3 linked regions of the Nothobranchius furzeri genome follow. The protein of the gene in region 3 binds, or shares a complex with, the protein of the main gene of each other region. Links are inferred from orthologs where the notes say so. Each region holds a gene or a part of one and is shown on either strand. Other genes may lie near its edges.

What was found.
Region 1: the proteins of seh1l (region 3) and wdr59 are in contact, whole or in part, in a cryo-EM structure (PDB 7UHY), measured with the Homo sapiens proteins. The link is inferred for Nothobranchius furzeri from reciprocal best matches to the Homo sapiens genes SEH1L and WDR59. Residues at the interface, in NP_112493.2 of Homo sapiens: Asn308, Tyr309, Met310, Asn312, Lys314; in NP_085058.3 of Homo sapiens: Pro713, Asp714, Glu716, Thr717, Pro718, Arg721, Arg837, Glu840, Gln843, His844, Asn847.
Region 2: seh1l (region 3) and nup37 share a complex: the UniProt entries of both Homo sapiens proteins name them as parts of the nup107-160 subcomplex of the nuclear pore complex. The link is inferred for Nothobranchius furzeri from reciprocal best matches to the Homo sapiens genes SEH1L and NUP37.

What each region holds. Positions count from the first base shown.
Region 1 is NC_091749.1:66,260,452-66,270,380, forward strand, and holds the start of wdr59 (GATOR2 complex protein WDR59), read right to left. Parts: upstream 6,887-9,929; 5' UTR 6,821-6,886; coding exon 6,767-6,820; intron 6,120-6,766; coding exon 6,070-6,119; intron 5,668-6,069; coding exon 5,532-5,667; intron 5,384-5,531; coding exon 5,298-5,383; intron 5,218-5,297; coding exon 5,137-5,217; intron 4,839-5,136; coding exon 4,801-4,838; intron 4,475-4,800; coding exon 4,386-4,474; intron 4,206-4,385; coding exon 4,089-4,205; intron 3,982-4,088; coding exon 3,904-3,981; intron 3,809-3,903; coding exon 3,652-3,808; intron 2,524-3,651; coding exon 2,444-2,523; intron 2,063-2,443; coding exon 1,933-2,062; intron 1,705-1,932; coding exon 1,598-1,704; intron 1,503-1,597; coding exon 1,338-1,502; intron 1,095-1,337; coding exon 999-1,094; intron 906-998; coding exon 801-905; intron 728-800; coding exon 606-727; intron 405-605; coding exon 251-404; intron 1-250. Other genes in the region: RNA-binding protein NOB1, read left to right, coding at 7,293-7,361, 7,464-7,596, 8,224-8,357, 8,427-8,498, 8,574-8,705, 8,785-8,928, 9,097-9,303, 9,500-9,597 and 1 more. UniProt on the Homo sapiens protein: As a component of the GATOR2 complex, functions as an activator of the amino acid-sensing branch of the mTORC1 signaling pathway. The GATOR2 complex indirectly activates mTORC1 through the inhibition of the GATOR1 subcomplex.
Region 2 is NC_091741.1:39,623,201-39,633,188, forward strand, and holds the start of nup37 (nucleoporin Nup37), read right to left. Parts: upstream 6,887-9,988; 5' UTR 6,826-6,886; coding exon 6,766-6,825; intron 6,741-6,765; exon of another isoform or gene 6,524-6,740; intron 5,550-6,523; coding exon 5,352-5,549; intron 5,272-5,351; coding exon 5,150-5,271; intron 1-5,149. Other genes in the region: parpbp (PCNA-interacting partner), read left to right, coding at 7,477-7,626, 7,914-8,150, 8,253-8,357. UniProt on the Homo sapiens protein: Component of the Nup107-160 subcomplex of the nuclear pore complex (NPC). The Nup107-160 subcomplex is required for the assembly of a functional NPC.
Region 3 is NC_091745.1:49,020,677-49,031,800, forward strand, and holds the start of seh1l (nucleoporin SEH1), read right to left. Parts: upstream 5,817-11,124; 5' UTR 5,737-5,816; coding exon 5,626-5,736; intron 5,269-5,625; coding exon 5,218-5,268; intron 3,332-5,217; coding exon 3,185-3,331; intron 3,098-3,184; coding exon 2,886-3,097; intron 1-2,885. Other genes in the region: ptpn2a (tyrosine-protein phosphatase non-receptor type 2a), read left to right, coding at 9,435-9,491. UniProt on the Homo sapiens protein: Component of the Nup107-160 subcomplex of the nuclear pore complex (NPC). The Nup107-160 subcomplex is required for the assembly of a functional NPC.

The sequences.
Region 1 (9,929 bases), on a different chromosome or scaffold from region 3:
TCATGATGCAGAAACCTTCAGAAGCATCTACATGAACCTCAGCAGCAGCATCACAGCTGTGCCTAAAGAGCTGCAGGAATCAAACCAGCAACCACTTTCCACAGCAAACTAACCCGCAGATGGAGCATGAAATCTCCAGTGGTTCTGTTTCTGGTTTCACGTTTGCAAAAATTCTTCAGAGATGAGTTTTAAAACGACTGTGTGTGTGTGTGTGTGTGTGTGTGTGTGTGTGTGTGTGTGTGTGTCTCACTCGTTCTTTATAGTAGAAGGAGGAGATGGAGACGGTGTCCTTATCGGAGCGGGTCGGGCTGCCGCTGTACAGCCGCAGGGTGCTCGGAGGCTCCGAACGCATCTTCATCGGGGTCAGGACTCCGCTGTGATAGGCTGAGAGGGCAGACAGGGACCTGAACACACACACACATACACACATTTTCAGCTGCTTCTGTGTCTAAAACTGATTTTGACTCCAGATCCAGCTGCTAGATTCTGATTCTGACCCATTATGTGGGTCTGAGATCTGATCCGAGACCAGTTACAGGACCTGGACTGGTCCTCTACCTGTCCAACAGCAGATCAGAACCACAACACCTGTGGGTGTGGTTTACCTGGGAGTGGGTTCAGTGGGCGGGGCACAGCGGTGCATGGTGATTGGTCGGGTGAAGTAAACCAGACAGCCGGTACCACAGAAACGTGCGCCGGACGTTCGAGGAAATGGGATGTTGGCATCCTGAGGGAGGACCAGATGTTTGTGTGTTTGTCTGAAGCAGAAGGACCATCATCTTCATCAGTGCAGACTCTACCTGGTAGGAGCCGTAAGTGTTGGTGACGCGAGGAAACGCCTGTAGGGAGGGAGTGACGGGATTGGATAAGACGAAGGGTCCAGACGCTGGGCTGTCCTCTTGGGTCTGTCAGACAGAAACAACAGATTGATGAGAGCTGCTAGCGCCCCCTGCAGGCTACTGGGCCCATTCGCTGGTTTTTGGTTCTGGTTCTGTCACCATATCAGACTCCAGACAGGACACGAGCTGACGGACACACGGCTCCAAACAGTTCTGGTTCCTCTTCACTTTTTGAAAAGACGTGTCCCTCAAGATCTGAAGACAGAGAAGTAGAGACACAGAGAGACGCCAGAGAACAGCAGCATAAGGGTTCTGGGTTGGATCAGGGGTTCTGAACCAGGCTCTGGACCGGTTCTGTAAGTTGACAGTATGTGAAAACTGTTCTGAAAGGAGTTCCAGAACATTTGAATGGTTTACCTGCTCTCCAAGAATGGGTCAGAAATAAAGAACCAGACCCAGCATGTGTGTCCGGCACCATGCTGCGGTGCGTTCAGGTACCTTCTGGATCTTGGTCTTCATTGCAGAGGGGATGGTTGTCGGTGGGGTGAACTGGAATGTGGGCGCTGCGTTGTTGGGGTACTGGGCCGGGAACTTGACCACCAGGTGGACCTGATGGCTGCCGAAGTGGGCCGACACCACACAGCTTCGGTTCATCGCGTCCATCTGAGTCCAAAACACAAACAGTCATCAGAGCTGGACTGAACGGGTCCAATAGAACCCATCAGCGATGCTGTTTCTTCCACCTGTCAGAGTCTCACCTCAACGTTGACGTTTCTGATCTGCAGGTTGACCAGAGAGAACTCCTGCTGAAGAGTCTGAGCGAGACCAGAACCTGCTGCCAAGTCCTGATGACCGCCGTCTGGATCTGGGAAACAGAGCGTCAAAACCTTAAGGTGTGATGTCACAGCGAGGAACCAAGTTTAAACCACGAGTTCTGCTGGGTTCTACATCGTTCTGATCCATTCCTCAGATGGTCTCAGGACAATGGCTGATCACATGTTCGATCAGCTGTTTCTGCTTCTAGAGGACAAACACGTGGATGACACACACACACACACACACACACACTGCTGGGCCTAGAGCTTGACCTCACCCTGCAGGTTGTCTGTATCGGGGCCCACGGTCTGCTGGCTCTCAGGCTCCTGGGAAGACATGAACTTCTCCGACTCCACGGTGAGAGACATCCCCTCCATCAGGTCCTCAACCATGTCACTGACACACAGCTACACAACAACAGTAAGCCAATCAGAACCTTGTGTGTCTTGGCTCAGAGAATGGTAAAATGATAAATGGCCTGTAGTTGATATAGCATTTTCTAGAGTCCCGGAACCGCCCAAGGTGCTTTACAACACAATCAGTCATTCACGCACACACACACACACACCCTGGTGGTGATTAACTACATTGTGGCCACAGCTGCCCTGGGGCACACTGACAGAGGCGAGTCCCTCCGACCACCACCAGAAGGCAAGGGGGTTTAAGTGTCTTGCCCAAGAACACAACAACAACAGACTGAGCGGTGCTCAAACCTGCAACCTTCCGATTACGGGGCGCGCACTCAACTCCAGTGCCACCATCGCCCCAAGGTGGAACCCAGGACCAACCTTCTGCAGCTGAGGATCAACCCTCCATATCCTCATAGTCTGATCTCTGGACCAGGTGACCAGCTGGAAGTCCTTAGAGCCTGCACAAGACAGTCAGCCATCAGTTTGACACAAGTCAGGTTCAACCTAACCATCAACGGACTCAATGGCTCAGTTTCTGTCAGTCAGCATCTAAAATGTTCAAGAAAAGATTTGTGTTGTTCGAATCTGAACCAGAACCTTCAGGCCCAAGCAGATCATGTTTGGTGATGATGAGACTCAGACCGAGGAAAAAAACAAGGAAATCAGTTAAGAGTTCAGAGATTTACCATGGAGACACAAAGAGGAGGGGTCACAGGATTTGTTACCATGGAGACAGAGGAAGGGGGGGTCACATGATTTGTTACCATGGAGACACAAAGAGGAGGGGTCACATGATTTGTTACCATGGAGACAGAGGAAGGGGGGTCACATGATTTGTTACCATGGAGACAGAGAGGAGGGGGGTCACAGGATTTGTTACCATAGAGACAGAGAGGAAGGGGGGTCACATGATTTGTTACCACAGAGACAGAGAGAGGAGGGGGGTCACAGGATTTGTTACCATGGAGATAGAGAGAGAGAGAGAGAGAGAGAGAGAGAGAGAGAGAGAGGAAGGGGTCACATGATTTGTTACCATGGAGACAGAGAGATGAGGGGTCACAGGATTTGTTACCATGGAGACAGAGAGAGGAGGGGGGGTCACATATTTGTTACCACGGAGACAGAGAGAGGAGGGGGGTCACATGATTTGTTACCACGGAGACAGAGAGAGGAGGGGGGTCACATAATTTGTTACCACGGAGACAGAGAGAGGAGGGGTCACATGATTTGTTACCATGGAGACAGCGAGAGGAGGGGTTACAGGATTTGTTTCCATGGAGGCAGTAAGATGAGGGGTCACAGGATTTGTTACCATGGAGACAGAGAGAGGAGGGGGCGTCACATGATTTGTTACGATGGAGACAGAGAGAGGAGGGGGTAACATGATTTGTTACCATGGAGACAGTAAGAGGAGGGGTCACATGATTTGTTACCATGGAGACAGAGAGGGGAGGGGTCACAGGATTTGTTACCATGGAGACAGAGAGAGGAGGGGTCACAGGACTTGTTACCATGGAGACAGACGGGGAAGGTTACAGCATCGGTAACTATGCATCTCAGCTAAAGTCTGAGTCTGCAGGTCTCACCTTCTTTCTGCGGTCGCCACTGGAACTCCAGAACCACGTCGTCATGTCCAACGAAGGCGTGGACGGGACTGTTAAGGTCGAGGGTGCTCCACAGTAACAAACTGTTTTCTCTCCTCAGCTGAGGAACCATGATGGTGACCAGACCATTGGAGAAAGGCTGAACGAACGTACACACACATCATAATATTTAACCATAAGCCATTCTAGTTGATCCTTCGTGTCTCTGTTGGGCTGAACTGAGCTCAGACCCACCGTGTACCGGGCCTTCCACACTGGAACCTGACAGGACAGGATGTTCAGGTACTTCCTGGGCTGTCGGTAATCCCAGAACTGCACAGACACAGAAAACACAAACACTGGACTAGACCAGGGGTTCTGAGACCTAAGCTAATGGCTCCTCCGCTCTGTAAACACGTTGGGGACAGTTGTGTCCTCACCCTGACTGAGTTGTCCTGGCTGGACGTAGCAAAGATATATTCATTGTCTGAATGCCAGTCGAGGCCGTGGATCTTGGAGAGGTGAGCCGCTACGTACTCCACTGCTGTGCTCGGCTTCTGCTCAGAGGGAATTTTGTCACACGCACGCACATACCATCATCACAACCAGAATCTTAACTTCCTGGACTTTTTTAAAGCATTTTAAACGTTCAAGTTTCTCTAAGAACCTGGAAGCTCCTGGTCCAGGTTTGAGGACAGATAATCTGGGTGCTGGACTCGGACTCGTGTGTGACTCACTCTTTTGTCCCAAACCCGAACGTCTCCATCATGACTGGATGCCAGCAGATGTTGGTTCTTCCTGTTCCATTTCACCTGAGACGCTCCAGCTGGTGGACAAAGGGACAGGTGGACAGATCAGACAGATGTTACTATTATATATATATATATATATATATATATATATATATATATATATATATATATATATATATATATATGTATGTATACATATATATATATATATATGTATGTATACATGTATATATATATATATATATATATATATATAGCTTTAATGAGATCACTCAGTGGTACGTTTATGACACAAAGCCAGCTGCTGATGGTAGAGGTCGACATAATCTTTGTGATATCGGAGGGTCCCTGAATGCACCACCTGAGTGTCTGAACATGCGTTTTTATCCTGAAGACTCACCGACAGCAGACAGCGCCACAGTAGGCTTCCTGGTGTCTCTGTGGAGTCAAACAGACATGATGAGACGCTGAACGGTCGGGGTAAATGTGGGTTTTATGATCAACAGCTGCTTCAGCTCAAACAGATTCAGAACCGACCCAGTTCAGCAGCTGTTGAAGGTGAAACCGGGAGAAGGACCTTTTGGACTGAGCGGGTGTTGATTTAATCAGCTGATCAGAAACTTCAGTGGGTCAGACTCCACCTCAGTGGCACGTTTGCGTTACTGGGTCATACTGGGTCAGAACTCAGTCAGATGGTTCTGATCTAACCTGATACCGAGGTTTCACCTGTTCTCACCTGGTGTCCCAGATGTAGATGTAGGTGTCCACGGAGCTGGTCGCCAGGAGCTCCGAGTCGAAGCAGGACCAGTCCAGATCACTGAGGACACCAACACATCACAGTGAGTTTCAACCGTCCTCACCTGCCGACAGGTGAGACGGACTCCTGACTGCTGTTACCTGATGACCCGAGTGTGTCCCAGCAGGGAGGTGTGGGCCTCGCCACAGCCGTCCCTCCACGAGTACAGGTCCACACGCTGGTTACTCTGGAGAGACACACGTACACGTTTGTTTGGCTTGGTTTGGGTAAGGGTATTTATGTAGGCGGGACTGATGACAGTTCATCCAATCAGATTTATCAGGAGAACAAAAGCAGAAACTCTGTAAAAGCTGAAGAAGGTCACTTTAACTCACCGAGGCAGCAAAGACGTGAGCCTCTGACCTGTGGGGGTTCCACTGGACCGTCCCCACATCCCACTTACTCTGGCGTGCAATCTTACGAGGCGGTTCAGACGGGGCCTCCAGGTTCACCATGTACAGGAAGTGGCGGCTGGATGGCAACAACATCAGCTGATTACCTTGTTTTTCATCCTCAGGTTTTTAAGCATTTAACTGATCTGTATGTTCTGATCAAACACCTGAGATACTGGAATGTCCTGAGTAAACTAACTAGTTCTGATAGAAAACACACACACACACACACACACACAGGTTCTGATCCATAGATGATGTTTAGTATCAATGAATCTGTACTAAAGCCTGTCTGACTGGGTAATTTCCAAAATATTTCAGATCAAACAAAATACCTGGATTTATTCTAGTTCCATATAAATAAAATGTTTATTTTAAGATCAAACGTCTGACTGCTTTGACATCTTAATATCTGTTCCACGGGTTGCTCAAAGACACTTCAGCACAGGAGAAAATCGAGCCGCTGGTGTCAGGAACTCACCCTGACAGCACCGCATGGGTGCCCAGGCAGTCCACGGACATGGCTGTGGCCTGAAACACAACATGAGACCCATTTATCAGCCGTGTCACATGATAAGTCACATGATTTCACAAACAACAGGAAGACTGACAGCAGACCAGGACTATCACTACAAATCCAACAGAAATTGGGTTCCTGGATTACACAAGCTGGAATGCAACACAGCTGCTGTAGGTGGACACCTGAACGCAACGCAGCTGCTGCAGGTGGACACCTGAACGTAACACAGCTGCTGCAGGTGGACACCTGAACGTAACACAGTTGCTGCAGGTGGACACCTGAACGTAACACAGTTGCTGCAGGTGGACACCTGAACGTAACACGGCTGCTGCAGGTGGACACCTGAACGCAACACAGTTGCTGCAGGTGGACACCTGAACGTAACACAGTTGCTGCAGGTGGACACCTGAACGTAACACAACTGCTGTTTCCAGAGTTTTATAATTTTATTAGTTTCACGCTCTACCGACCTGCGTGTGCGGGTCTGAAACCACGTGATCAATAAAGTTATCGATTTTAAAACTAGTTGATCACATTGTAACAACTAACAGGGGCCGTTTAGATTCGGTTCTACAGGCAAGCTCCTCTCTTCAGCTTCAGTCTCGCCTGAGGCTCCGCCCAGAAATACTAACAAATAAACAAGTAAACAAAGCAACACCTGGGAATCCCGAAACTCAACCACCACATTCTCACTGCTCCAACGGGCAGCCATCTTCCTTCTTATTCCAAACAAATCACCACGTGACTATTATGTAATCGTGCTGCGTTCAGTGGCGGTGGGAACAAACGCCAACAGATCGAGAGACAGATGACAGATTATGTAAGTTTTAGAAAACACCGTTCGAGGATTCGCATTATAGACATATATTGATTATTACTCTCAGACGTTTTAACTTTTCTTTAATCAGTTTGATTCGTCTCGCCAAATGATATTATAGCTAGAAGTATTTTCACCCCTAATTAGAATAGTAGTCTTGGTTTCCATGACAACTAACATGATTAATATCTACAAAAACTGGGGTCCACCCCCAAGGCAACATAAATGTAGTCAAATCACATTTAAATCCACATAGAATAATTAAAAAATTTCCGACACATTTGGGGTAGTTTGAATGCCTCTACACGTAATGGGATTGTTTCCTCTCATCTGATTGGTCGTTCCAGCTGCTTGTCATCACATCAAGATGGCGCAGACCCTGATAGAGCATGTTGTCGCGGACGCTGGAGCCTTTTTAAAGAAGGCACCTTTGCAGGTATCAGTAGACAAACCGATCAGCTGATCGGGTTATTTAGATTTTACAGAAACGTGAGTTTAAAGTGACTTGAAGGTCCAGATCAGCTGGTCTGTTTTTCAGGACATCGGCAGGAACATCTACACGCTGAGAGATGTGGTGGATGAAATCAGAGACAAACCCACCAGGAGGAGCCTGGCCTGCCTGCCGTACCAGCTTCATTTCAAGGATCCACATCCAGAACACATCAGATATGGTAACCAAACCCTCAGGTCTAACCTAAACCCAGTCTTGAACTCCCAGGTCCAGTGGTGTGTCCAGATCTTTAAAATGGGGTGGCCCAGGTGAGGCACCACTTTGTGCATGGGTGGCACCAATGGTTATGCTTTTTTTTTTTAACCCCAAGCCTTTTGTGGACAGTGAAAAGCCTATTTAAAGGGAATTCAGTGCAGTGGCACATGGGGTGGCCAATCAGATTCCAAGGGTGGCATTTGCTACCCCAGGCCACTCCCTGGACACGCCCCTGCCAGGTCTAACCTAAACCTTACCAGCTCAGAGGCTTAGTGGTTGGGTCATACCAAAGACTGACAAAATGGGACCCAATGCCTCCCTGCTTGACACTCAGCATTAAGATGATGGGGGTGGGGGGGTGGGGGGGGGGGGGGGTGTTAACCAAGTTAAACCACCAACTGTGTCTGTAGCTCATCGCTCCCCCAGGGGATGGGTCAAATGTAGAGAACAAAATTAGCACACACATCAGCTAATGGGACTGATCTTCCAGGTCTAACCCAACTCTCTCCAGAACCCCCAGATCTGACCTAAACCAGGTCCTGCGTTTGGGGTTTGACACCAGACCCCTCTGTTTGTCTCTTTGTGGTTTCAGTCTCTGAGTTTTCCAAGAAGACCGGAGACTATCCAAGTCTGTCGTCCACCGACATCAAAGTTCTGGCTCTGACCTACCAGCTACACCTGGAGCACGTGGGCTCACAGCACCTGAAGAAGGAGCCGGAGAGAAAAGTAACACACACACACACACACACACACACACACCTGAACTTTACTGACATAGATTGTTTTGTGTTCCAGGTGAACATCCAGAGTACACAACGCCACCCAGAGGCACCGGTTAACATCGCAGGGTTCCACTTTCCCTCTATGGTACCAGAACCAAAGTAGATTTACTTGTTGGTGGAACTGCAGGAGTTCTGAGCGTCTGGGCTTTCGTCCCTCCAGAGACCTGCAGACAGCAGACAGAAAACAGCAGAGAGACAGACGTCCAACCAGTCCAGCACCGAACAGTTCAACAGTTTCCAGTTCTGGAGGGATCCGCTTCTGACCATCAGTGATGACCTGCTGGGCCTCCTGGTGCGTCCCAACCAATCAGCTGCTTGCTTGGTGTCTCAGGATGTTTACACACTGTCTGGTGTTGCTTCTGTTGAGTCAGGGTCCAGTGGAGGCTTCAGGTCCAAACCAAGAGCAGGGGGAACCGCAGATGTCCTCCGAGACCACCGACACAGAACACTTCAACAGCTTCCAGTTCTGGAGAGAGCCCGTACCGAGCATCGACGAGGACCTGCTGGCTCTACTGGTGAGTTCAGATCCCAGATCAGAACCAGTTCCTCTGTGACTTAGAGATCTAGAACTGACTGAGAGAACTGGGTCCTCAAAACCCAGTTCTTCAGTAAACTCTGGGCCCTACCTGATGGATGTGGGCTGTCTGAAGAGAACTCGGAGCTGAACGCATGTTTGTTTTCAGGATGAGGGCGGAGCCTCACCACAGACAGAGACAACAGTTTCAGGTGACGAGGACAAAGAGAACGAGCCCGAAGAGGAAGATGATGAAGATGATGGAGGAGGTTGGATCACACCCAGTAACATCAAACAGGTGAAGATGGACTCTGCTGATTGGACGGTTCCAGCTGATGTCATAGTTGGATGTTTGACCACCGACTTTGCCATGCAGGTAACGGATGGTTCCACCAGAACCACAGTGTTGATCGTGTGTGTGTGTGTGTGTGTTAGCACAGGATCATGTGACCTTTGTTCTCCTCAGCCGAGTCCTAAGTGGTTTGGAACCCAGCTAAGGAGAACGTTAATAATTCAGGTTCTGACGCAGGATCCTCCTCCTCACTAACCCGGAGCTTCTGTTGCATGTGCAGAATGTTCTGATCCAGATGGGCCTCCATGTCCTGTCTGTGAATGGGATGGTGATCAAACAGACGAGGAACTACATCCTGAGATGTCACGCCTGTTTTAAGTGAGTTTTGAGTTTCAGCTCCTCCTGGTGTTCCTTCGCTCTGACCGCAGAACTTAACAGAACTTCCTTAATTCCAGGACAACGAGCAACATGAACAAAGTCTTCTGTCCTCACTGTGGAAACCAGACCCTGAAGAAGGTGGCAGTGAGTGTCAGCAACGATGGAAACATCCAGATGCATTTCTCCAGAAACCCCAAAGTCCTGAACCCCCGAGGGCTCCGGGTGAGAAGCTCAGAATCAGGCTTTTATTTTGAAAGGTCACCAGCAGTTCTCTCAGGATGTGGTCTAGATGAGATATGTAGACAGAACCTGATTCTGTTGGGTCATGTGAT
Region 2 (9,988 bases), on a different chromosome or scaffold from region 3:
TCTGCTCTTCAGTGTCAGCTCTCTAATAAAAGCCTGTTGTTTAGCATGTTGGCTTCCGTATTTAACAGATGACAGCCAAAGCTGAAAAATGAGTGTGTGTGTGGTGGAAGTCTGTGGTTTTAATAGTCTTCAGGCTTGTTTTCAATACAAGCTGCTGCGGTGGCAGCCAGAGCCCCCTCTCCTCTCATCAAGCCCGTGAGAACGTTGTACTTTTCCTGGAAGGAACAGCTACGTGCCGACTGAAAGGAGAGCTTGAACCTGAGTGGGTTCTCATCAGCGCAATAACATGTGCACACGTCACAAGTGTTGGCTTGAGTGTCCTGCGGAGTAAACCACAAAAGGCCAGGAATTATCGCTGCCTTTTCTTTTCAATTGCAGAAAGCCAAAACACCTCCAGAGCGAATGCAGATCCTTCCCATCTACTGCTCCAATTAGGCAGAAACTCTTTGCTTTCTAATAATCTCAAGTTGGGCTTATTCCCTTCTGTCTGAAGCCACCTGGCACAGCTTGGCTCAGATCCTGGAAGTGTGACAGCGAGAGATGCTGACGGTTCCTTCTACACAGCAGGATTGTGAGCTCTGTCAGGAAAATGATGCTGTTTTATTAAAAGTCAAAGATGTCAGGTTTCTGAGGCGGATGTGACGCCCTCTAATCCTACAACAACAGTCTGAAGACTCATTACATAATAAGAGGCTCCAGACAGATCATCACACACAACATTTATTTAAATAAAAGGAATCAGATAAGCCATGAAATATGTGAGGAGAGAAATTTAATCTTCTGCGCAAACAAGTCAAGGTTAGGTTAACATTTGTGAAGGGTTCCTCGGACACAGGTCTCTGTGGATCTCTTTACAGTTTAGTTTGCTTCTCTGGGTTCAGATCGCAGGGGTAGCAGTCTGAACAGAGGAGCCTAGACTGTTCCCTCCTTTGCTGAGATCTCAAAGATGTTTCCTAACCAGCCTGGTCATGCATACTTTCAGAATGACCTGAGATGGCCTCAGGGTCACCTCCAAGCAGGCCCAAAACACCTCCTTTAGGAGGTTTTCAGGAGGCATCCTGGGCATACGCATGAACCATCTCAGCTGGTTCTTCTCCGACATGGAGCAGTGGCTCTACTGAGTTTCCTCTGAATGTCAGAGCTCTTCATCGCATCTCCAAGGCTGAGCTCAGCCACCCTGAGGAGTAAATTCATTTGTGTGCCTGGTCTTGTTCTTTTGGTCATTACTATGGGTCTAGCAGCACTTTTTCTTGTATTTTTCAGCATGTACAGTACGAGAGCTACTGCTTCAACTGAACCATGTTCAGCGCTTTGGGCTTCCTGACAGGGTTGCGGAAGGCGCTTTATAAATAAAGCTTTGATTGATTGATTGATTGATTGTTTGATTGATTGATTGATTGATTGATTGATTGATGGAGTGAGGCATACCTAGTTCCCATACGGAAGTGTAACTTTAGCCAGCAACACATGAGGCTACGTCCAAATTCAGGGGCTGCATCCTGAAAGACGGGGCCTACCCAGTCTTCGTAGGCTGGTGTTAAGACCAGATACCAGGTCATTTGTTGACCCGGAAGACCGGAAGTGAACGGCTGTGAAATTGGGCAGTCTAGCCTGCAACCATGTTGACATCGCTAAACAGAAGTTGAAGCAGCAATGCAGAGCAGGGGTGGTATTCAGACCCCATCAATTTTTCACTCTTTGTTATATTGCAGCCGTCGTCGTCATCTTCCTCCTCTTATCCGGGTCCGGGTCGCGGGGGCAGCATCCCAACTAGGGAGCTCCAGATCGTCCTCTCCCCGGCCACCTCCACCAGCTCCTCCGGCAGGACCCCAAGGCGTTCCCGGACCAGATTGGAGATGTAACCTCTCCAGCGTGTCCTGGGTCGACCCGGGGGCCTCCAGCCGGCAGGACATGCCCGAAACACCTCCCCAGGGAGGCGCCAGGAGACATCCTGACCAGATGCCCAAACCACCTCAACTGACTCCTTTCGATCCGGAGGAGCAGCGGTTCTACTCCGAGTCCCTCCCAAATGCCTGAGCTCCTCACCCTATCTCTAAGGCTGAGCCCGGCCACCCTACGGAGGAAACTCATTTCGGCCGCTTGTATCCGCGATCTCGTTCTTTCAGTCGTTACCCAAAGCTCATGACCATAGGTGAGGATTGGGACGTAGATCGACCGGTAAATCGAGAGCCTGGCTTTCTGGCTCAGCTCCCTCTTCACCACGACAGATCGGTTCAGCGTCCGCATCACTGCAGAGAGAGAGAGAGAAAAGATAGATAGATAGATAGATAGATAGATAGATAGATAGATAGATAGATAGATAGATAGATAGATAGATAGATAGATAGATAGATAGATAGATAGATAGATAGAATCTATTTTGAACACCGACTACAGCGGTATCTGTATATCTACCTATCTATATGTACCTATCTACATATACCTAGATATATATTGATAGGTACACACACACACACACATATATATATATATATATATATATACATATATATATATATATATATATATATATACATATATATATATATATATATATATATATATATATATATATATATATATATATATATATATATATATATATATATTAGGGCTGGGCGATATGGCCTAAAATCAGTATCACGATAAATTGAGGATTTCACCTCGATAACGATACATGGACGATAACTACAGGTATGTGCAGAAACAAATGTTGTCCACTAGATGGGGCTGTCACATGTACTACGCTGAGTCACATTTTTACGTGACTCAAGGTGGTCCAGCTTCTTAAAGGGACATGAACAATGCCAACCTACAAACATCTTTTCATTTTTTATTATCAAATTCATTGACATGGGAAAAATTATCTCGATAAGAGTCAGAAATTTCGATAACGATAAATTTTCTATTTATTGCTCAGCCCTAATTATTTATATATATATATATATATATATATATATATATATATATATATATATATATATATATATATATATTAAACTACTCTAGGGGGATCTGAGGCATGTCAGGTATAGCCCGTCTGGGGCAATTTGAGAAAAAAAAGGTTGGTAAGTTACAGGTTGGTGAGAACGTATGATAAAGTATCTATACATGTTCACAGCATTATAATATTATATTTGAATGATTATATATCCTATCCTGTCTTTAATCTATATGAACACTGACTACAGCGAAATCCTCTGATGCATCCATGCTGCTCAGTAGCAGAACTGTACTGATGTCACTAGTTACTAAAGAACCAGTCAGCTGGCAGAGCTGCTGTTGAACATGTGAGCGTACAGAACTTGCAAAACTACGTGATTAAATTTAAGAAACAAAGTAGAATCCAACTGCTGTTATTTATTTGTTGTTGTTTATAGAAACTAAATCTATCGGCAGGGCTTTAGACCCAGGGCAGAGTTTTATACCTCAGACCAAACCACATCCAGACCTGTTATTAAAGGGACAATATGGAAGTTTGACAGCCAAAACATGTATAGAAATAATAAATGTATTCTTCATACATTCTCCTGCAATGCCCTGGTCCTGTAGAATGAGCCCTGGCATTTTTACTGTGATTGCCTGTTTTTCTGCAAAATCACAGAAAAAGAGAGATGCTCGGGTCGAGCAGGCTGCTTCATGCACGTTCACGCTCAGGCATCGCCCGTAACATTTGCTATCAGTAGCTTTAACAGCAGAGAGAGAGGCAGTGCCAACTCAGCGACTTTGTCGCTGTTCCTAACGCCTAGTGATGAACCTAGCTTCATTTCTGAGGACCCTTAGCTACTTTCTTCTAGATATTTCCTACAAATTAGCAACAAAATTGCCATTTTCTCTACGAACCGTTCTTTGAACGTTGTTTCAGCTGTCATCAAGGATATAAATGTTACAGATACAAAAGATGTCACTGATGCTATAGCTCACCCAGTAAGACGGCGGACTCCTGTGCAGAAGACCCGGGTTCGATTCTGGATGTAAATATAGTTCATTTTGAGTTTCTTTTTTACATTAATGGTATATTTTTTTACAGTAAGATGCCCAAATTTTTATTTGAGACTCGCCGAACGGCATTGAATTCACAGATAAAAAAGATGTGGGTTCAACTTTCATTTTGGAACAATTTTTCAAGCAAGGGAAGGGAATGATCTGAGCATGCAGGAGGACTGACCCATCATAAACCTTTGTCGGCTGTGCTGAAGAGAAAAGTACAGAACCAAATTATTTATTTAATTAGCTGTGCGTTCTCCTGTCCTCCGGGCCACACACACACACACGGGACTGTCAGCTGCTATTTTCGTTAAGGAGTGTGCACGTACAGCATGTGCGCCTCGTGCACGAGCCTACTATTGAAGCTGCCGTTACGCTTTTGGCCTGAGGGGGCAATCGCAAGCATCAAAATTCAAAACTCCGTAAAGTCCCTTTAATAATAGTGTGTATTATTTACACTAATCAAAAATTCTGTAATGTTCGCAGACATCTAAACCTTAGAAATGAAATAAAATCAATATTAAATTTAAAAATAATTAATATTGTTTCTTCATTAAGAGAACAGTTATCTGTGAGCACTTTTTATACTTGATATTGTCCAGCTGAAGCAGACATCTGCTTATTTCTAACAGAGCTGAGCTGTGGGAGAAAATATACAGGCTTATTTAATTTTATTTTCCCATCACCTGTGAGTTTTGAGCATTCACTTAATATTAATTATAAAATCATAAATAACAGGTCACTCTGGGCTAGAACGTGTTTCTAGGAACAGAAGCTTGTTGGGTTAGGTTGGCAGCAGCTCACCTGTTCCTGACAGGAGAAATCCTCTCATCAGCAGCAGGTGATCTACAGAGTAACACCGGCCCGAAAAAATAAATAAATAAATAAAAACCCAAAAAACACCGAACTCAAATAGGGCCACCGGGAATTTCCCCAGCTGGGTCCTGGTTCCGCCCACCGTCGGATATATAAACACACAACTTAGATCTGAAAAACGGAACTATGAAAATATAGTTGACTTGCAAAAAAAGGTATTAGGGTTGACACTGCTAAGATTACACGTGTGATCCACCGAACAAGCAAGGCAATTGACACATAATAACACAGTATTCTGTTACCAGTCAGCAAAGATTTACAAAATAATTATGGTAAAATGTTATACCTGATGGTAGGTATCCTGTTCAGCTGAGACTCTGGACTCCAAGCCAAAACTTCGACTTGCAACTCGTGATGAAAAGCTCGAAGTATGTTGAATTCAACTCCCTCCACCTCCATATCCTCCTCCTGTTGATGCAAATTCACATGAAAGACAAAAATAATCGATGTGAAGGGTAAACCTGGCTGTGTGGAGCTGCATCTCTAACCTGGAAGAGGCAGGTGGCCACCACCACATACTGGTTCCCACCGTAAGCCAGGAGAGAGACGGGGGTACCCGAGCTGAAGGGACTGAACTCCACCACATGGACGTAGTCGTCACATGGCACAGTGTAGCTGGGACTGTGGATAGCGCCCTCCTGCATGACGTGTATGCTGGGAAAGCTGGCTCTGAACCGGGACTTCCACTGTTATTTATATCAAAACAAAGAGGGGCAAATTAGCACATTAAACAGGATCATTTCTGCACAGATCCGGTAAAACTGTTCTAGTAATGAGTTGTTTCAGTTTGTCTCAGTTGTATTCAGGTAATAATGTAATTGGTTACTTTACTCACAACTGTTAAACGTGTTACTCGGTCTATCATTTTGATGACTTCTCACTTTTCACAGAATGTGCTTGAAAAAATATGTCTTCATTATTTCTTAGTTCATCCAATGGCTAGTTTTAAGTTATTAATATTAATATAATGCACAAATGCAGGGGCTCCACATTGACATAGCTGGTAGCCTTGCAGCAAGAAGGTTGCAGGTTAAAGTCCTGGCTATGGCACTGACCTAAGAGATGCATTTCAGGTTAATTGTCTCAAGTTTTGAGTGTGAGTGACTGGTTATCTGTGCGTTCCTGTGATGGATTGGAGAACTATCTAGGCTGTTCTCTGCTTCTCGCCTGATGATCGCTGGAGTTACCAGCTACCCATGACCCTGCTGAGGGTAAAGCAGTTAGGAGTGAACTGCTTATGCTCTTGTATTTGTTTATTTAGGCAGAAACCCTTCTCGACTTGGAAACCCGGATTACTGATTAACTTTTATTTAAAATGACACAAAAATAAATCTGAAAGATGTTCAGACTAATTAAAAATTATATAACTTAAATCATAAAATCTAAAAGGCACAGGCTGGTTTTGGCTGAGGATAACGGAGAGGGCTTGATCACCTGGTTTCCTTAAATTGTACTTTTCTTTTACAAATTTTGGAAGGTAGTCCTGGTAAAATCAGTGAGAAACATTGCGAATGATGCTACAAAGCTATTTAGGTCACTGTTTAATTCGGCAAATTGTAAACACAAATCAAACTTGAATAAATCATAAATAGAAAAATTACACAGGAAAGATACTTGAGTTACATTAAACTACAGTTTTTGTAAACGGCTTTACAGTTACCAGTTACAACAGTGGGGTATCCCGAACATTTGGGAACAAAAACTGCCTCTTTTGTCGCGTATAAATGTATTTCCAGTAAACTCTGTCCACTCCACGCGTGCACATAACAGTGAGCTAAAACCTGGGGCTCCAATTATTACTGGTTTTTAGCAGTAAATGCTCAAACCGACAACTTATGATCCAATTATTTCTATATATTGTATATTTCCATTTCAAACCCTGTAATAGCTTCAATACTTTACCAAACTACTGGCAGTGAAATTGCTGCATAAACAACGCCGCGCGCTCGATGGTTTTCTCATCTACTTCCGGATACGATTTGTGGAACGTACCATCATTTGAAAATATCAGGGGGTTAAGGGGTACAACGAACCTAAATAAATCATACATATTTTTTTAAATACATGAAAATACAATCGTACTTAATCATAATTTATGCTAACTTCAACTTCAGTAAACTGTTAACAGTTCGTAAAATGTGATTGATCTAAAAGTACATTTGTACAAAGCCCCCCTGTGTGCTTGCTTCAATTTAATTGGCCAGAAGGCACATGGCGTCACAGTCGATTTAAAATTTCAAAACAGCTGCTGCCTTTGTCGTGGACTTGGAAGGCTGCAACGAGAAAACAGGTTAGAACTGTTTAAACGGTTTAAACCCACTTTTTGGGGTCAAATTTTAATATAAATGTGTCGAGTGTGTGGGGGTACATACAGGTGATGAAAATAAAAATAAATATAATGGAACACGTTAGTTGTGTTATTTCAGCAGTTGCTGGCCACAACATCTGACTGAAGATGTTAGGCTTTACATTTATGTTCAACATATTTTATTTGCCTTTCAAACACAAACTAAAGCTCTTCTAGTAAATGTTACTTAACCCTTTTCTAAATCTTGAAACCAACACAAAAACAGTCTTAAAGAGCTCTTTCTGCTATTTTTGTTATAGGATATAATGACAGCTTTAGGGGACCGCCTCAAGGTGATGGTGAAAACCTTCAGGAGAGAGTGTCACAGGATGTTGGAGTCTGAAAGGACCACCATTCATGGAGCTGACGGCATGCTGCTGGTGCTGCAGGTGGCCATGGCAGAAGTGAACAAACAGGTGAGCGTTAGTTCATCCTGTTTGTGATGCAGATTAATTTTAAAAATCAAATCTTCCAATAACCTAGGTTTTAGTTTTGTTAACATATATTTAAAATTTTTCATATTTATTTCACAGAGGCATGCACTCTGTAATAAAACATAATAATAGAACGTCCATACCTGATGACAATACCCGAATGAGACTTCTGATTGCTAATTTTTTGGACCTCTGCAGGTCTTTCTCCTTTTGGACTGGTTGGTTCCAACCCATCAGTAATTGTGACTTCTTCTCTCCTCCTCTGACAGCTGAATGGAGAGTTCAGAGTGGCTCTGAGTGACGTCCTGATGGCCTGGAAACACTTATTGTTAGACAGACTTCACCTGCCGCCCCCCAGCTCTGCACGTTTGGAGAACTATGATCTCATCCTGGAGGCGTATGAATCTTTCCTGCAACGCTCCAACACGCTGGATCTGATTGATGTCCTGTCCATGTACAAACAGCTCAAGGTGGTGGACTCTGACCCAGAGGAGCCCGTAGGCTCGGTGAGCAGTAAATAGTTAGTGGAGACTTGATTTGGTTATTGAATTATAGATAAAACTGATGAAAAATCTAATGTGCTCTTAACTTTTTTGTTTTTCACCAAGATCCAGCTGTTTGAGGTTTTATCAGGTAACATGGAGGTCCCAGAGGGGCCAAACTCACCAGTCCCTTCAACACCATCCAGCAGAAGCAGACCTTGCAGCTCACAGGTGGGCCCACTTGGTGCTGTAATGATAATAGAGGGTAACTTGGGTTAAGTAAATTGCTTGAAAAGCTATTTATATTAATACCACTACTTGTGACCAATAGCTGCGATACTCTATATAAATAGAATATCCCCTGCTTGGTCTTAGGATGATTAATTAGAAGATCCTAGGATTCTTTTAATTATCAGGGGATTGTACACACTTTGCTTTGATTCAAGAAACAGTCAGGTTTATATACAAAGTAAGAATTGATTTACAAACACTTAAGACTTGACAAATTGTTTAAACTATTATTTGCTGTGAGTGGATGCGAACTAAAGGATGGTGTCTGGAACCTATGTGTGAATATAATGTGTTCAGAATCTCCGTTCTCAGAGCTGAGTTCTGGATGGAAAGAATTTGGTTTGCAAATAAACTATAAAGATGTTATCATCAGAACCACATTCAGATGCTATCTCGCTGTGTCTAGCTCACTCGTTCTGGAAGACCCCCGTTGGATCCAAGATGTCCCGGGACCGACGACCCCACTGCACCTGGCTCGTAGATAAACCTCGACGCGCCCAAATCAGCCCTGGGATGTCTCCCGGGTCACAACGATAGATGAAACCGAGCGTCTTAAAAATAACTGTGAAGGAGTTTTGTGTCAGCTTTGTTCTGCAGCAAACTATCTTGTTGTTTCAGCTTCGCAGGTGCGAAAAAGGTTTTGACGACGTGTCAAAATCCTTCTGGTTAGAGAGGTGCTAAAGATGGCCGGTCTGAAGCTCGCTCTAGAACTGACTAATTACCCAAAGCCATCTGGTTTTAAAGAATTGATATTATGGTTTTGCCAGCCAATCAGGGGCTGACAAGTTTGAGAGATGTTACCAAGCATCTCAGACACACCCTCTGTGATGGAGACTCCGAATGTGGGCACAAGGTTAACTCTTGTGTCATGCATTAGCATAACTTTACTTGTGAGTGCAAATGTTGTGACCTCGCCAAGTAAACATACTAAACAATCATTGAACACAGATTATTGAAACATACCATTATTTATAACTATAAATGGCAATATTTCATGATTATCTTTAATTATAAAATCTTCTTTTCTTCTTCATCTGGGAATAAAGGAGTTTGTTTTAAATAGTTCCACGGTGATGGACCTTGGAGGAGAAAATGTTTATTGTTCATTATTTATTATCTCTGCAGTCCAGCTGGTGTGAGGAAGTAGGCTCTGATTAAAGGGGCTACATGCAGACTTCGAGTCTCCTGTGAGGGGAAAAGATTGTAGGATGTGTCATAGCCAGGGTAAGTTGACCTGGCTGTGCATTTGACCCGTGGGATCTCAAAATCAGGCCGTTCGTGACGTTGCAGTGCGTAAAGTAACCTCTTTTCTTCACTTCTGCCATCATTAAAACATAATAATAAAATATTTTCACCTGCAGGCGATAATCCGTGGTTTTACTTTTCCAGTCCCATCTGGAATTCATCCTGCTCTTAATGCCAGGATCTCTACATCAAATCACTCAGATTTAAGAGCTCAGTGTGAACCCAATTACGGTGCAGATGTTTAAAACACAGCATGGCGTGGAGCTTCTGTAACATGGCCTCCTTCCCTTTCTGTCACGTGTGAATTTACGAGTTTCCACCAAAGT
Region 3 (11,124 bases):
GTTTTTGATCCTGATGCAAAAAAATGAAAAAGTTCTTGTTTTTCGTATTTTTAGTTTTAGTCTCGGATCAAAAGTACGAAACCGTCCCGTAAACCTCTGACTCACTACTGTGAGTTACACTCTGATGTAGGGCGGCCTGCAGGAGGAAGACCCCCTCATACAGAGTTACACCGCTGCTTCAGACGGAGTTTAGATGTTTTAGTCCAGGTCTGCTGACCACCTGCTGCTACCCATTCCCAAAATGAGCAGCAAGGCTCGTGGGGAGCGTGCTTTTGTTTCGCTGCTCTAGAACTGTGGAACAGCCTCCTTCAGTTTAAATCAAACTTCGGCACACTTCTTTTGTCTAGCTTTTGGCCGGTGAACGTTCTTTTTATGCTGCGTCTGTTTTTACTAGCTTATGCCTTTTTATTGTTATGGCTGAATTCTTCAGCATACCAACATGGCCAGAACCTCCAGCCATCAGTCAGGGAGCTGAAGCCAGGATGGAAATGGATTATGCAACAAGACAATAACCCAAAGCATTCCAGCTAAACCACGTAGGAATGATTAATCCAGTCAAAAGTCCGGACCTTAACCCAGTTGAAATGTTGTGGCGAGACCTGAAGAAGTTGGCACACGCCAGGTTCAAGCAGCACGGTACGCACAAGGGAACACTCGGACTGCTGCCTTCCTACATCTGCTCCCTTCTGGAAATGAAAAATTTTAAAGCCGCTTTATTTTCTTTTGGAATAATCAGCTAGATCGGGGTGAGAAACCCTTTCAGGGTTAGCTGTTAGCCATCTCTGTCATAGAAGAAAGAAGAAAATATCATTTCTATAGCGCCTCTCAAGATAAAAATCACGAGGCGCTTCACAAAAACAAAAAAATGTAAAAATATAAAAAAGCATTTAAAAAATGTGTAAAAATTTATTTAAAATGAGCAAAAATAGGCAATTGGGATTTAAAAGAAAAAATGTTAAGAAAGAGAGAGAGTGAATAGGAAAGAGGGAAATCAGTGGATCCTGAGGAAGGTGGAATAGGTGGGGAGAGCAGAATAAAGAGAGAGTGGTGAAGAAGGTCATACAAAAGCCAGCTTGAACAAGTGAGTCTTCAGCTTCTTTTTGAAGGAGACCACTGAGTCCACTGATCTCAGGCTCAGGGGAAGAGAGTTCCAGAGTCTGGGGGCCACAGCAGCAAATGATCTGTCACCTTTGGTCTTTAGCCTGGTGCTGCACAACCAGTAGGCTTTGGTCACTGGACCTCAGGGACCTGCTGGGAGTGTAGGGACTAAGAAGATCACCAATGTAAGATGGTGCTTGTCCATGTAAGGCCCTAAAGACCAGAACCAGGATCTTGAAATGAACCCTGAAGTTGACTGGCAGCCAGTGAAGCTGGAGGAGAAGCGGGGTGATGTGGGTGTGTTTGGAGGACTTGGTCAGAAGCCGAGCACAGGTATTCTGAACCACCTGTAGACGGTTCAGGGAGGTTCTGCTCAGACACGTGAAAAGAGAGTTACAGTAGTCTAAGCGTGAGGAGATGAAGGTGTGGAGAACTGTCTCAGGTTCAGAGTGGGATAGAATGGGACTCAGCTTAGCAATGTTCCTGAGATGGAAGAAGGAAGAGCGAACAAGAGAACTGACATGAGAATCCAGGGTGAGAGCTGGGTCAAAGGTCACACCAAGATTCCTGACAGAAGGTTTGGTGTGAGAAGCAAGCTGACCAAGAGAGTCTCTGACTTTGGGAACCAGCTTGTCTGGGGCACAGATGAGGATCTCAGTCTTATCTTCATTCAGCTGAAAGCTCCCACCATCCAGGTTTTGATAGAGTCTAAGCAGGTGTGAAACAGCTGCAGCTTAGACATCTCATGGGGCTTAAAGGAGATGTACAGTTGGATGTCATCTGCATAAAGATGGTAGGAGATTCCTTTGAAGGAGCTCAGGATGTGCTGAAGAGGAAGCAGATAGAGGAGGAAGAGCAGAGGCCCCAGCACAGAACCTTGTGGGACACCATGGGTAAGAGAGGTGGTGGAGGACCTAAACTTGGAGACGGCCACAGAAAAGGAGCGCTAAGACAGATAAGAGGAGAACCACTCCAGAGCAGATCCTGAAAGGCCTACCCAGTATCTCAGCCTCTCCAGTAGCAGGTGATGGTCAACAGTGTCAAAGGCTGCAGTCAGGTCCAGCAGGACCAGAACAGAACAGTCCCCTGCATCACTGAGTCAGAAGGTCATTAGAGACCCTAAGAAGAGCTGTTTCAGTAGAATGAGCTCTACGAAAACCTGACTGGAAGCTATCATAGATGTTATGTTCATCAAGAGCAGCTGTGAGTTGTTTAGCCACAACCTTTTCCAAGATCTTGGAGATGAACGGAAGTTTAGAGATGGGTCTGAAGCTGCTGTGGAGAGAGGGGTCAAGACCCGGTTTTTAAGAAGCGGGTGGATTACAGCATTCTTAAAGTAAGCAGGGACGTGACCAGAAACCAGAGAAGCATTAATTATAGAGAGCACGATGGGACCGATGGACAGAAAAGCACTTTTAAACAAAGATGAGGGTAAGATGTCGAGGGGGCATGCAGAGGTCTTCATAGAGTTAACTAGTTTGGTTAACTCAGGCAAAGAAACAGGTGCAAAGCTATCTAGGATGATGGGTCTGGTTGGAGTCGGGAGAGGCAGCGATAAGGCTGAAGGAGAGATGCTAGATCTGACCTTATTGACTTTGTCCACAAAGAAAGACAGAAAGTTCTCACAGTCTGTAACACCTCTTGTGTAATGACCTCTTGTCATAAAACAAGACATAAAGGAATGGCAGCAGCAACAGTGATGCTCAGGTTTAAGGAAATTCTCCAAATGACCGATTACAGAAACAAACATGTCCCCCATGTGTTAAGTGAAATAATTATCATCTAACCTGGAAGGGTTCCAGGATATACAGCTGCAGCTGAGCTTGCATGAGATCTCGTGCTGCAGAGACCACTGGCTCAGGTTCATCACGTCAGGAGCCTCGTAGATCCTCACCACTCCATCAGCAGAGCAGGTGGCCAGCATCAGACCCATGTGTTTAGGAGCAAACTTCACATCAGTTACAGATGTTCTGCTGTCCACCAGTGTTGTTCTCTTTATCTGAATCAGAGCACCAGAAACACGGGTCAGGACTCGAGACAGGCAAACCTATGAAAACATTAATGACTGAGCTGTGGCTGTACAAACCCAGTGGCTCAGGCCTCTCTGTTTGTCATTGGACTCCCCTACGATCTCCTCCCAGACAGCAGCTGTTCTGTCGAAGGAGCAGGAGGCCAGGACCTGCCCAAACTCTGGATGGGCCCAGGTTACTCTCCACACTGATCCACTGTGGGTCTGCACACACATCATTACATCATGGATAAGTCCAAAATACACAAATATACACTCACCAGTCACTTCATAGGTACATCTGCTACCTCTGGGGTCAATCTTTCGTAAACATGGCCTATCATTCCATCTGTATGCTGACGATTGCCAGATTTACTCTCCATTGTGTCAGGAGAAAGGTCACTTTATTCAGTCCTTTGTCTCCTGTGTTAATGAGGTGAAGTCTTGGCTAATGTCCAACTATCTACATCTGAATGAGGGAAAGACAGAGCTCATTGTTTTTCACCCCAACAGCAGGAATGTGGATCGTTATGCTGATCTTGGCCCTCTTTCTCCATACTCAAAACCAGTTGTTACCAGTTTGGGGGTGAAACTTGATGTAGGACTTAAATTTGATGCTCACATCAATTCTGTGATCCGGTCCAGTTTCTTTCACCTGAGACGCCTTGCTAAAATCAAGCATATGCTGTCAAGAGCCCACCTGGAGCGGGTACTGCATGCCTTTCTAATTTCTTGGCTTGACTACTGCAACTCTCTATATGCAGGGTTGTATCAGTCAACACTGCATCGCCTACAGGTTGTGCAGAACAGCGCTGCCAGGTTCCTGACTGGGACCAGGAAACGGGACCACATCAGTCCAGTTCTGGCCTCCCTGCACTGGCTTCCGATTTCCTATCGCTCACAATTCAAAATACTCGTCTTTGTTTATCATTTCTTCCAGGGTGGTGCTCCCCCCTATCTAGCCACACTCCTGAAAAGACACTCCCCATCACGCGCTCTGCGCTCCTCTGACCAAGGCCTGCTCGCTGTCCCTCGGTCTAGGTGTCGTACCCGTGGGGACCGAGCTTTCTCAGTCCTAGCACCGTTACTCTGGAACCAGTTGCCACCCTCAGTTAGGCTGTCCCCTTCTCTGCCAGTCTTTAAGAATCACCTAAAAACACACCTCCTCCGCTTGGCATTTCCAGAACATGTTTGATTTTGGCACTCTTTTATGTTGAATCCATTCCACAGTTTTCATTGGTACACTCAATCCATCCACTCAATCCAAATGTGTTTCACACATTTGTATTTTACCGGAATGTTTCATCTATCTTGTAATTTCCATTTTGTATTTTGTAATTTGTATTTTGTAATTTGAATTTCTTTTATTGTTGATTTATTCAATATAATTACTTACAACTGTACCATGTTCAGCGCTTTGGGCTTCCTGACAGGGTTGCGGAAGGCGCTTTATAAATAAAGCTTTGATTGATTGAAAGCTTTGATTGATTGACCTATTCTACAGCTTTGCACATTTCCACTCAGCCAATCGCATGACGGGCGGCACTGTCCATTTAGGCATCTAGACATGATGAAGGCTACTTGCTGAAGTTGAAACTGAGCATCAGAATGTGGAGGAAAAGACATTTCCATGGTTTGAATGTTGTATAGAATAGAAGAAGAGAAGCTGAAGAGTTTGACCATGTCCAGCCCTTTATGACCACATAGACCCATCTTCTGATGCTACTTCCAGCAGCACCATGTCACATAGCTCAGATCATCTCTAACTAGTTTCTAGAACTGGACTCTAATGGCCTCCACAGTCAACAGATCTCAGTCCAGCCCAGAACCTTTGGGATGTGGTGGAACTGGAGCTTCTCATCATGGTTGGAGCCGATGCTGTCATGTCAGGTTGGACCAGAGCCTCTGAGGACCACTTTAACTTCTTGTTGGCTCTTTGAGATGAAGGATTAAGGTGGTTCTAAAGAGGTCTAAAAGAGGTCCAACCCGGATCTATTGGCAAACTTGATAGTGCCCGTGAGTGTAGAGCAATAGTAAATCTGTTGAAACAGCAAAGATTACCCAGGAAGGGCTTTTACGGTCATGTAAACAAACGTAAGCAGGTTGTTTACCTTCCAGCTGGCTGTGCAGTGCCACTCTCCATTCTCACTTTTGTCCCAAACCTGTCAGGAAGTCACAATAAACAGCTGCTGTTACGTCATCTCCACACATTAATTTTAAACTGACAACACACGAAATGAGTTCCTATGGTTCCTACCTAAAACACAACACTCGCTGCCTTACGTGATTGAAGCTTTTACTGATACGTTCATATTCCAGTCAAACGTCTGCACACATTAGCCTGCATGCTACAATGTAAGTACAGTAACATGCAATACTTTAAATTAGTTTATAGTTTTAAAACAAATTTTGTCTAATTTAGCTAATAAGCGCATAATGTGCCAGCACACAACACGAGTGTGTTCAGTAAGAAGCTAGGAACGTGGGTGACGCTAACATGCTAGCTTGAGTCAGCTCACCTTCACACTCTGGTCGCTGGAGCATGTTGCCATTCTCCGGCCGTGAAAATCGTAAGAGACATCGTGGATCAGATCTTTATGGTCCGCAGCGATACTCCGAGCTACGAACATGGTTAGAAGAAAAACAACAGCGAGATTAGCTGCACTGCACTGGTTAGCACAAGCTCCCGCCTGTCACGTGACAGAGAGAAAGAGAGAGAGAGAGAGAGAGAGAGAGAGAGAGAGAGAGAGAGAGAGAGAGAGAGAGAGAGAGAGAGAGAGAGAGAGAGAGAGAGAGAGAGAGAGAGAGAGAGAGAGAGAGAGAGAGGTTTTTGAACAGTGAACCACATTGGGGGGGGGGGTGCTTCAATTCAAACAGGGTTGCCAAGTTTGGCGAATTTACTGCATTTTAGATACAAATGAGATGTTCATGGTACACTTAAGCATAAGTCACTCACTTCTTAGGGTTCTACAACCCCCTTCAAAGCACTTTACAATACAACCAGTTATTCACACACACACACACACACACACACACACACACACACACACACACACACACACACACACACACACACACACACACACACACACACACAAACACACACACACACACACACACACACACACACACACACACACACACACACAATGAGCCCCAGGGCAACTGTAGCTACGATGTAGCTCATCACCACCAGCACCAGCATGTTAATGTTTATGCATTGGGGAATTACACTTTGGTTTTGTTAAGAAGGGAAGGGGAGATGACCGTGTTTAACCTGTAACATAAATACAGTTATTATTGCATTTTTAGCTAAACAATAAGAGAATGAGTTCCCCTCATGAGTTGCTATGGCCACAAATGCTGTAGCATTTCATTTAATTAAAGAGCAAGTCACACTACAAGAAACTTACTACACTCCCACTTCATGTTTGAAAAATGCAACGAATGCGTTTGCCTGGCTGACCGAGAGGGCGGAGCCGTTAACAAACACACACAAACAGGTTCACAACGGCATTGTGACATCATAATGTACCAGCTGACTTCAAAGGGTACCTCTTAGCCAACAGTGATGGCAGATTTAAATTCAAATGTAGTGCAGAGTTTTTACCTGAAGGGGGCGCAACACTGACAGTTTTAGGCTGCATATTTAAATTATAAGATGCACTAAAGTGCCAAATTATTGACTACACACATCTATAGAGCTCCGGACCCCACGTGACTCTCAGTTAGTAGACGCCATATTGGCAGGGAAAAAATGGTAAACAAACACGGATCGTAAACATGAACATGAACGGGATCGGCTTGGATTTTACTTCGTCTGAGTTTACTTCACACTTTAAAACTGAAGAAATCGTTTTATATAGTCAGAAATTAAATAGACCAAACATCTCCGACCCTTAACCGTGCCCCTGGGATACTTTTTTAAAACGCCAGAAGCTGTCGGAGCGGACTTCTTACCGGATCTGGCCGGGGAACCCCTTGGGATTTCCCCGGAGGAGCTGGCTCAGGCGGCTGGGGAAAGGGAAGTCTGGACCTCTCGACGCTACTGCCCCCGCAACCCGACTCCGGATAAGCGGATGAAAATGGATGGATGGACAAATAACAGATTTACACGTAAGTAGTTTAAATAGAGTGCTGTGCTGTTTGAATGTATAAACTGAACACCAAGAGAAATCACTAGTTTGATTGTTTTCCATGAATAAAATAAATATGTCAGGCAGGAGCGTCTCAGGATCTGTCTGAGATCTGACTCGGTGAGACAAATAATAGCAATCCAAAATGCTTTTTATGTGTGATCTGACAATTGATCAACCATTGCTTAAAAATTAAATACAGCTTAGCCGGTTAACTGCTGTGATCATAAAACACGTAAACGGCAGCACGCAGAACTCACGAGGCAACGTTTTACGTGATGTTTACTTGCTGCTATGAGTAATAAGACAGAAAAAGCCACGCCAAAATAAGTTTAGGAAGCCCACTAAGAATCGTAATAAAAGCATTTAAAATAAACACCATACACAGTTGAGGAAACGTTGTTTAAGTACCTGATATGAAGCGGTCGCTGCATAAGCGAAAACCTTTACTCTCGGGGTCCCACAGCTTCATTTCAGCCCGGTCACTAGCGCGTTTTATTACAATGATCCAACGTTTGCGGTGCTCCGGATCTTGGGGAATCCTGTAGATGGCTCATTCCTTATGTCGTCCGTGTCTGTTCTGCATCCTGGGGCACAACAGGAATCTACCATATTTCCTGTCTGATTGAGTTTTCTGACAATAACAAATAGTCCAGCTGCCGGCTTCTGCATGCCAATATGGCGCCATTTCGATTTGAACTGTTGCATGCCGGGAGAAGTGATGTCAGCTCCCGGAGCTCTATAGCACCATTAGACACTCGTCTATATAGTTTATCAGTAAAATAAGTTGATTTGGGGTGACTTGCTCTTTAAAAAACGGTTTCTACTGAGTAACTATTGAATGTACTCCTTCTCCTTAATATTAATACTCCCATGAAGACAAAAAAAATGTAGGATTTTGTTTTCCAGCTTCACTGAGATAAGCAGGTTTGTGTAGCTCTAACTGATTGCCACTGTGGGGGCTCTAACATAGCTCTTCATTAAGTAAAGTTTGTAGCGCTGTAGCTAGCTGGATTTGCCCTTTGACTCCACACAACTATTGAATATAACACTTACATAAATACAGTTTTCATTGTGTTTTAGATGAATAAAAAGATTAAAAAAAACAGTTAGAGTGAGTTTCCCTGTTGCTATCATGCTATCATGCTATCAGCTATAATGAATGTCTCTGACCTGTGAACCATCAGCACCGGTTCCCCTCAAGGCTGCGTTATCTCTCATCTGCTCTTCTCGCTGTACACCAACAGCTGCACCTCCAACCATGAGTCTGTGAAGCCTATCAAGTTTGCAGACGACACCACCGTCATCTCACTCATCTCTGATGGGGATGAGTCTGCGTACGTAAGAAGGTGGAACGGCTGGAGTCCTGGTGCAGCCACAACAACCTGGTGCTAAACACCCAGAAGACAGCAGAGGTCGTTGTGGACTTTAGGTAGCCCCCCCCCCCCCCCCCCCCCCACACACACACACACACCTGTAACCCCGTTTGACACTCCCATCATGATGGTGGACTCATGTTGCTTCCTGGGAGCCACCATCACCTCCATCATAAAAAGGTCCAGCAGAGGATGAACGTCCTGAGACAGCTGAAGAAATTCAACCTATAAGTATAGTCAATGAAGTTCTACACCTCAGTCTTCAAGTTCATCTTCACCTCTTCAATCACCGTGTGTGGTATGCTGGAGCCACACACATACTCTCCTCCAAATCCAGCTTGAATCCAACGTAACATTGTGTGTTGTAATAATCAAATTTCTTTATTATCATTGTATGTATTATTATACAACTGCAAAATCAGGTTTATTATGTAGGTTATTACTATATAATTACAAAATGTGTATTGTATAATTACTAAATAAAACCTGACGGAGAATTTAACGAGTGTTATTTTGTTTTTAGCCAGTAAAGAATATGTTTAAGTTTTGATGATAAAGTTTTTTTTTTTTTTTTTGCACAAGCGCTGAAAAAAGCCTCCCGCTCGCTTGAAGCGCGCGCAGAGATGCATAACTGGCAACCCACGTGAGTCAGAGGGAGGCGGGCTGGCTCCCAGGCTGCAGGGATTCATCATCAGGTTACACACAGCAAGCGCAGCTAGATGGCTGGCCGAAGCCGGACGGTGTGAGTTGGGGAACGTCGCTGCTAACGCTCTCTACTCGTCCCCCTGGCTCTTCACCTCTCCCATCACAACCAGAATGGAGGCAGAACTGAAGGAGATTGATTCGCGCGGCGAATGGCAAAACATTTATAACGTAAGTAGGGTCCGCGGCAGGGCCTCCGGTGTTTCTATGACGATCAGGAGCTAACTAACTTAGCTAGCTAACGTCAGAGGCGCTCGCGGCAGCGTCCGGATACCACCGCGAGCCTCCTGCTGAGTGGTATTGACCCGTGGGCTGCTGAGAACAGTAGCCGGTGTTCCGGGAATTTCTCCTACCCCGTAAACCGTCCTACCCGTTGTTACTCGGAACTCCGGCTGTGTGCTGCTGCTGCTGGGGGGCTGATGAGAAACTAGCAGCCAGCTTTAGCGTTCGCTGACTTGCGTGCGGCGGCGGAGCTTCCACCGGAGCTGTTATCTGCTGGCTGACGCCTGCAGACGTCAGCTGCAGTTTCTGAGAACTCACCGGTGTCGGTACACGGGACTTCCAGAGAAATGCGCACGTGCGCACCGCCGGTCCCTTTTGAGTCTGTTCCAGGTTAAGCTGGCAGTGACCTGACAGCACCTGTGACCTGAGGATGCCCTACAGCTGGAGATATTTGTTGTTGAAGACGAGCAGAAAATCCCAGCATGATGAGTGGATGGGACCTGCTTTTCTGACAGCAGGAGAACATCCAAGTTGTTTTTGTGTTCACAGAATGATCATGATCCTGAGTTTTAACATGGCCGACTGTTAATAACAACAAAATCAAACTGATTTCCCTTTTCAAACCTCGGTCATTCAGGCTGCTTTAGTAGGTACACCCGGCTGGTACCCGCTCTGCCTTCGGAACCTAATCCTTCATCTCATAGATCCAACAAGAAGTTAAAGTGGTCCCCAGAGGTTCTGGTCCATCCTGACATGACAGCATTAGCTCCATCCATGATGAGAAGCTCCAGTACCACCACATGCCAAAGGTTCTGGGCTGGACTGAGATCTGTTGACTGTGGAGGCCATTAGAGTCCAGTTCTAGAAACTAGTTAGAGATGATCTGAGCTATGTGACATGGTGCTGCTGGAAGTACCATCAGAAGATGGGTCTATGTGGTCATAAAGGGCTGGACATGGTCAGACTCGGGTAGGCCGTGGTGGTTAAACCAGGCTCAGGTGGTCCTGAAGGTCCACAGTGGGACCAGAACAACACCACCACTGTTACACCAACAGTAGCAGGAGCCTGAAGGCAGGATGGGTCCATGCTTTCATGTTGGAGACACCAAACTCTGAACCAACAGCTCAAATCGAGACTCGGACCAGGAAAGGTTTTCCAGTTTCTTCTGGTCCAGTTCTGGGGAACCTGAGGGAATTGAAGCCTCAGCTTCCAGTTCTTAGCTGACTGGAGAAACATGGCTTGGTCTTCTGCTGCTGGAGTCCATCTGCTTCCAGGTTCATCAGGTTGTGGTTCAGAGATGCTGTTCTGCAGAACCAGAGGTTATTAGAGCTGCTGCTGTCCTTCTGTCATCCAGAACCAGTCTGACCAGTCACTGTAGACCCTAAAGATGGTTGTGGGTTCAAATCCCAGCAGCTGAACACAAACAACCATACCACATTTAAAGTCCCTTCAGTCAGCTTTCTTCTGCAGCTCGGTTTGATCTTCAGCAGGGCGTCTTCACCACCTCTAGATGTCTGAAGGTTCAGAGGAGCTGCTGACTAGCTAACATGAAACCAGAGCTCCAGATTCTCATTCATCACCT